Rattus norvegicus: one gene and its partner. The protein of the gene in region 1 interacts with the protein of each later gene in a biochemical or structural test. Links are inferred from orthologs where the notes say so. Each region holds a gene or a part of one and is shown in the gene's direction. Other genes may lie near its edges.

Evidence for each region.
Region 2: the proteins of Slx4 (region 1) and Eme1 form a complex in vitro, tested with the Homo sapiens proteins (3 studies listed by BioGRID, with this or other methods). The link is inferred for Rattus norvegicus from reciprocal best matches to the Homo sapiens genes SLX4 and EME1.

What each region holds. Positions count from the first base shown.
Region 1 is NC_086028.1:12,042,982-12,046,795, forward strand, and holds part of Slx4 (structure-specific endonuclease subunit SLX4), read left to right. Parts: intron 1-43; coding exon 44-252; intron 253-379; coding exon 380-696; intron 697-1,306; coding exon 1,307-1,520; intron 1,521-1,901; coding exon 1,902-1,987; intron 1,988-2,709; coding exon 2,710-2,856; intron 2,857-3,792; coding exon 3,793-3,814. UniProt on the Homo sapiens protein: Regulatory subunit that interacts with and increases the activity of different structure-specific endonucleases.
Region 2 is NC_086028.1:80,083,072-80,086,494, reverse strand, and holds the end of Eme1 (crossover junction endonuclease EME1), read left to right. Parts: coding exon 1-101; intron 102-322; coding exon 323-438; intron 439-1,837; coding exon 1,838-2,027; intron 2,028-2,262; coding exon 2,263-2,439; 3' UTR 2,440-2,910; downstream 2,911-3,423. UniProt on the Homo sapiens protein: Non-catalytic subunit of the structure-specific, heterodimeric DNA endonuclease MUS81-EME1 which is involved in the maintenance of genome stability. In the complex, EME1 is required for DNA cleavage, participating in DNA recognition and bending.

The sequences.
Region 1 (3,814 bases):
AAAAAGAGGTGCTCACTGACCTCTCTCTGTGGCTGCCCTTTAGTTTCAGCAACCATGTTGGAGATTTGAAACGGAAAGGAACCACCAATAAGAGGGAGCCACAGAGGAGATGGAAAGTCAGTAAACCTGAGGCTCCGTCCGAAGACCTGCTGGTGGCCATGGCTCTGTCTCGTTCTGAGATGGAGCACTGTCCAGTTGTGCCCCCACTCAGACTGGAAAATGCTTATTCTGAGAAGAAGGGGCCAGGAGCAGGTACATGTGGCCGAGGCAGGGCCGGGGGAGGGCTTGGCGACCAGTGGCTGGCTGAGAGTGACCATGGCCACCCCTGGGATAAGCAGTCAGAGCTACTTCTGACTGAGTCACTTCTGTTTATCTGTAGAGAAGAAAAGTCGCAGGAAGAGACCCCCGGTGTGTCCCCCACAGTTGGTAACCCAAGACTCTGAGACCACAAGTAGACAGATCGAGGATCGTGTCGCCCAGCTCCTGTCAGAGGAAACAGAACTGGCTTGTACCCCACCACTTCCTGCCAGCAAGATTTCTAAGGAAGAACGGGAACACGCAAGCTGGCGAGTGCGGCAGCCTGAAGGGAGGCGGGGCTTTCTGTGGGAACTCAGTGCCCTTACAGGAGCCTGGGTTAAGGAGTCCTTCTACACAGTGGGCCTGCTTCCTCCACTTGTGTCCCAGTGCCCTCCCAAGGTGAGCAGTGTCCTCCAAGCACATAAGCGGACAGGCTTGGGTAGTCTAGAAATGCACCAGACAGCAGGGCTGATGGGGAAGGCGTCCAGTAAGCAGGTTATGGAGGAAGAGACAGGCTCTTGGTGTACCTCATTCTCTCTGTGGCAACTCATTAGCACTTCTAAGAAAATGACTTTGGTCCCCAAATTCAGCACAGTCCTTAATTAAAATGCAAAGTCCAGGCCCAGCCAACCTGGCACAAGTCTTAAAGTCTGTCTGAGATAGAGCCTTGGAACCCTTGTCCTGCATACGCACTTCACACAGCTCTGGTAGGTGTGATCCTAAGTTGATATTCACCAGCCTTGGCCATTTAAATGACATTAAGTGGGCAACTAGTTCCTGGGGACCCTTCTGTTAAGTGGCCCTTCCGTACACTTGGAGGCATCATGTGGACCTGAGCTATTACAGAACCTGCCAACACAGTTGAGTTTTCCTAGGCTGCTCCTGGTTGTGACTGGCCTCCCTTGGGGGTAGGCCTGTCCTAGCCGTGCATGTGTAGGGTGGCTATTGCAGAGTATAGTAGTGTCGGTGACAGTAACCATATAGTCACTAGCTTTTCAACTTCTTTCAGGAGCCCGAGCTACCCCTGGAGCTGCCCAAACAACAAGAGCCAAGCACACAGAGGCCACCTGCTTCCCAGAGCAGCCTCCCCGTGAGCCACAGCCCCAAGAGCCAGCTGCTGTCCTCTAGCCAGAGGGAAGGCCAAGCTCTTCAGGACCTTGTGGACTTGGCAGTCGAGGGGCTGAGCTCTAGTCCATGCTCCAGGAGTGCGGGCATGCCCACAGGTGGGACACTGGGCAGGTTGTTGGGCCTGCCCTGTGCAATGTGAGGTCAGGAGGAACTCCAGTGTGGGCAGCTGGGAGGCTCTGCACCTCTCAGTGGAGAGCATGGATGAAGGTGCTCTCGTACCTTCCTCAGAGGAGAGGATGATGCAGAACATTCCGGTCTTTTCACAATCATCCCTAAACTTTAGCCCAAGACAGACTTCCTAGGCTAGTTTGTCTGTCCTACAGTCTTCCTACTTCCCTGTAAGGAGATGGGTAAAAGCAATTAAAGGGTTGCCTTAAGTAAAGGTGTCCTTAAATAGCATGTGTCCAGCCAAACCCAGGGTTGATACTGCCAGCTTGAGAGATGGCATCCTTCTGATCTACGAGTCCTTCTCTTAGGGTTGGACTTGGTACCTAGCAGCCTTCCACTGACGGGATTTGTTCTACCATGTCAGAAGACCCTTAGGAAGGATGACAGTGTCGCAGTAAGTACAAAGGCATCTGCCACAGCTGATCTGTGGGCTCTGCTCAGGCTCTGGTGTTTGCCAAATGTATGCCTTGACACCCGTGGTGGAGCGTAGAGTCCCAGGCCTCCTGTCTCATTTCTTGGGTCACTGTCACAACGTCTTTGCCACTGCTGTGCTTGGGCACTTCAGGTGTCCTCAGCAGCCAGTCTGCAGAGCCTTTCCAAGAGACTGCCTCCCTCTGTGTGCTCGTTTCTTAGTGATTTCCTTCATCGCTAAGGACTCGCTGTGCCCCTTCTGTGCATGGATTATGGGGTGAGCTCTAGCTCCCAATCCAGTGTACTGTGTTGGTAATGAATGACACTGGAAGATGGGTATCCGTGAGGACCCTGCTGTGCAGGGGCCATCTTGGTGATGTTCTTGCATGGAGGTTGGAAGTATTGGGTTCCTGCATAGCTCAGGCCCTGAGTCCTGTGCATGCAACGCTTAGGAGCTGTGAGGGCATCTTTATCCTCCACTGTCCCTCACACAGGCCAGGGAACACTGCAATAGAGAGCCTGGGAAGGAAAGAGCATTTGCCATGCTGGGTCCTTGTCTTCGGTATAACCCAGAGGCATAACCTCATGCCTCATCTGGGGATGTCCCGAGAGGAAAGCTGAGTCCTGGCTCATGGTCTCCCCTGCATGGGAAGTCAGCACAGCAATGGAGGAGCTCACACATCTCTCTTCCTCCTCCTCTTACAGCTCTCTCTTGGGTTATTGGCAACAGACTTTGGGGCCATGGTCAATAATCCGCACCTGAGTGATGTCCAGTTTCAGCTTGACAGCGGAGAGGTGCTGTATGCCCACAAGTTTGTTCTGTATGCTCGGTGCCCACTTCTTATTCAGTGTGTAAGTACGCAGGGGGCTGGACGCCTACCACCCCCCTTCTCTTTTCTCCTTTCCATTTGTATTTGCATCGTTTTGAGTCTCCTGATCCCCCTCCCTCCCTCCCTCCCTCCCTCCCTCCCTCCCTCCCTCCCTCCCTCCCTCCCTTCTTCTGTTGGGATGGCATGCTCTTGCTTCAGTCTCATGTTACAGGCTCCAGCCACCGTGGGGGAGTGCAGTGAGCGCTCAGTCACAGGAGCGTCCTATCTTCAGTCCTGCAGTAGGATGTCATCTGCAATCGTACTGGGCCGTAGTCATCTCTCCTAGTACCCTGTGGGGCTGGGCTTTTATTTGCTTTGTGGGTTCTTCTTTCTTTCACCCTCACTTCTACCTTGCAACACCCTGAACACTAGGTAGGAGAGGAAAAAGGGTAGAGGGGAAGGGGGTGACTATTAGATTACTTCCTGCTGATTGGGGCACCGCAGTTCCTTGGGGCAGGTTTGATCTTCACTGTCAGCCTCTCATTTCTTCTTTCCATCTCTTCACACACGACAAACCACAGCCCCTTCGGTCATGGCTCTAGCATTTATATATCCTCTAAGAAGTCCTCGGAAGTCCAAACGCCACAAAAACCACGCCCTTGCCAGAGCAGTAGGCAAATCATAGTCACCTACTGTGGACAGTCTAAAGCAGCCCCATATCCCACACCTGGGATTAAAACAAAAGCATCTTATATTTCTGTGTTTTTAAAGAAACCAAAATTCTCACTATACTCATGCAACCCACAGACCCACGTCGGATATGCTTAGAGTCAAGTGGAAACTGACCTTAAACATGCAGCCCAGTATGATTTTGTAAACAAAGGTTCAGACTACAGAATCTGGCCAGGACAACCCCCCCCCCCCCCCAGGATCTCAGGCTGTCTGAGAGCTAAAGATAGACTCTGCTCCTGTACTTTAGGTAAATACGGAAGGCTTCTCTG
Region 2 (3,423 bases), about 68 Mb from region 1:
GAAGGAAATCAGGAATGGCAAATAAAAAGGCCAAAGAGAAGCATCAGCAGAGACGAGAGTCCAGCACAAGGCTCATGGTGTCCAGGGTAGACATGGAAGAGGTAAGAACTTCCTGTGGCCCTGCTCAGGTGAGTGCTCACTGGGTATCTAGGTAGGTCTCCAACCCAGACTGGATAGAAGGTTCACTAGCACTGTCTGTCTCGGACTGAGTAAGAAGCGGGATCATTGGAGCCAAGAGGTTGAGTGTAGCTTCAGTGAACATCAAGACAACTTCCAACAGTCCCTCCACTCTTCCAGTCCACTGTTGCCTTTGGGTTTCTAGGCATTGGTGGATCTGCAGCTATATACAGAAGCCCAGGCTCGGATCGTGCAGAGCTGGAGAGAGCTGGCCGACTTCGCCTGTGCATTTACAAAGGCTGTGGCTGAAGCGCCCTTCAAGTGAGTGACCTGCCAAGTCCCCCCTCCACACCAAGTCTTGCTTTTCCCTTGGTTCTTGCTGCCACAGAAAATTGCCTTTCTCCAAAACTCTGCCACCAGCCCAGTGTCTTTTGAGGCAGAAGCCAATCTTATGCTGGAGATTCAGAGCCTCAAATGTAGGGGGCTGGAGAAATGGCTCAGTGGCTAAGAACGCTTGCTGCTCTTGCGTAGGACTCACAGTTCCCAGCACCCACGTGGTGGTTCACAACTGTCTGTGACGCCATTTTTAAGGGATTTAACACCCTCTGCTGGCCTGTGAGGTCAGAAGTGATACACACACATATATGGAGGCAAACATTCATATACGTAACATTAAAATGAAAGTTTTAAAAAGGCCTCAATTCCAGCCCTTTATAAAAATATTCTCTTTAACTCAGATGCAAGTATATTCTATAAGTTGATGCTGTTACCAGGTCAAATCTCAAGTGAACCTAGTCAGAACTAAATCTCGAGTGAACCTAATCAGAACTGAAAACTAAGGGACCTCAGAGGAAACCTGTCCAAGTGCTTTATTTTATATCAAGGGAACTAAGACCTGAGATTGAGTTGTTTTAAGCTCCCAGCAAGCAAGAATCTGAAATAGATTCCAAATTGTCTAATACCCAGTCTCCCATGCCTACTCCTAGGCAGTACAACACCATCTTATCAGGGACAGACAGACAGACAGACAGACAGACAGACAGACACACACACACACACACACACACACACAATGACATTGATACCTTCTCTAATAAAAAGGACTAGATGAAGGGACTGATTTAACTTTTTTGCATGTGTACGTGTATCTGTGAGTCAGACAGTAACCCTGAGTGCAGGTCCTTAGCGAAGGACGCAGGGACTCCTTTGCCACTGCACAGGTAGGAATGATTTGCCTGAGCTTCCAGGGGTTCTGTCTCCACACCCATCTCACAGTAGGGCTGGTGTTAGAGGTGTAGCAAGCACCTTACCCACTCACTTCTGCCCTCAGGCCCCAGATGCAACTTTATTTTCTTCTTTTCATGTGTTTAGGTGTTTTGCCTGTGTGTGTCTGTGCACAATGTGTGTGCAGTGCCTGAGGGCAGAAAAGGGCATTGGATCCTCTGGAAATGGAGTCAGGCGGTAGTGAGTGCTGGAATCGAATCTGGTACTCTAGAAGAGCAGACAGGGCCCTTAACTGCTGAGCCATCATCTCCCCAGCTCCACTAAATGCAATTTTAAATGGAACCTGAAACTAAAACTGTGCTTGAGAACAGAGACTCAAACTGGCCCAATGTAACACTAAGTCGATCTCCAGGTTACTGCAGAACATTTTAGTTCCCAGTTAAAGGGACAAGTAAGTAGGAGAGAGAAACTCAGGTCCCCCGTGGTGCCCTTGCAGGAAACTCCGGGATCAAGGCAGCTTCTCCTTCTTCCTGGAGAAAGACTGGGCTGGAGGGGTGAAAGCGGACCATGCTGGTAGAGGACTTGCACTGATCTGGAGGCGGCAGATTCAGCAGCTGAACCGAGTCAGCTCAGAAATGGCCGGCGCTATTGTGGATGCCTATCCTTCTCCACAGCTCCTGGTGCAGGTATGCTGCTCTCGGTGACCCAGCTCTCCAAGCACCCTTGGGGGAAGTTTTATTGAGGGGCCAAGAACATAGGTCAACAGTGTGGGTTGGCTGGCCTGAGAAAGGTTCTCCTGCCTCAACTTAACCTTTCTACCCTCCTATCCTGTATCTTTTTTCTGTCCTTCATCTCCCATCCTAACCAAGGGATGGCCATGGATGGGTGGGATGATATTAAGAGGTCATTTATCACTTCCAGGCTTATCAGCAGTGTTTTTCTGAACAAGAACGCCAGAATTTGCTGGCTAACATACAGGTGCGACGTGGGGAAGGTGTGACAGCCACCTCCCGCCGTGTTGGGCCAGAATTATCCAGGCGGATCTACCTTCAAATGACCACAGTGCAACCAGATCTCATCTTAGACAGTGTTGACTGATATCCCATAGCAACAGGATGGAAGCTTCCCCAACCGTGGCACCTGACAGCAGAGGGGTCAGAAGTACCTCCTAGTGCAATTAGGGAGCAAGTCTCCCATCTCTGGGAACAGAAGGCTGAGACACTCTAATCTACCTCCACCAGCAATTACCGCTTCTCTCCCAGCAAGCAAGATGCCATGGACAGCCATCCTACCCCGTCCCAGTGACCTTCACAGCACAAAAGAGAAAGGCAGACCACTCAGACACGGATTTAATAATTGTAGAAATCCAAAGAATAAGCATCAAATCTCGAAGTCAGAGTGAACTCTTGCCTGCGGGTTGGCTTGACTACGCCCAGCCACTGAGCTGCCTCAACCAGCCAGGGATCTATGAGGCTGACTTCTGTTTTCATGATGTCACCATATGTAGTATGTATTTTGTCTCAATAAAGCATTTGTACCGATGGCTCTGGAGCTTGGAGGAAGACTAAAGGAATGTGTAGTGATTCTGAGTAAGGTGTGGACCTACACGGCAGAACTATCTGGGGGAGGGAAAAACAAAGGCCTTTCTTCCCGTGTCAGGACAGTCTTGAGTGGCTGACCTAAGCACATGGGCCACTGGGGCTACACTGTCTGAACTCCGACAGGTCCTGCTCCTCTAGGGAGAGCTTGCAGTTGGGAGTTTTAGCAAATAAGCACCGAGACAGGTTTCCGATCCCTTCCTGCAGCTGTTGTGAAGAGACAGGGAAGCGGGGAGAATGCTTTCTGGTAGCAGCAGGGAGGTGGGTGCTGCTGCCCTGGTTTGTGCTAATGTTTACTTATGTATCACTTGCAGCGCCACCGTGTGACTTTGTTTCCCTTTGGCTCCCACTGTTCTATTCCTTCCCTTCTGTTACAGGTCCAGAAGCAACTCTGCACCTGCTTCTGTGAGATCAAGTTTCTAGGTTGCCTTTGAGGTATTTCATCATACCAAGTGCTAGTAGGGCAGTCACAGTGCCGCTGCAG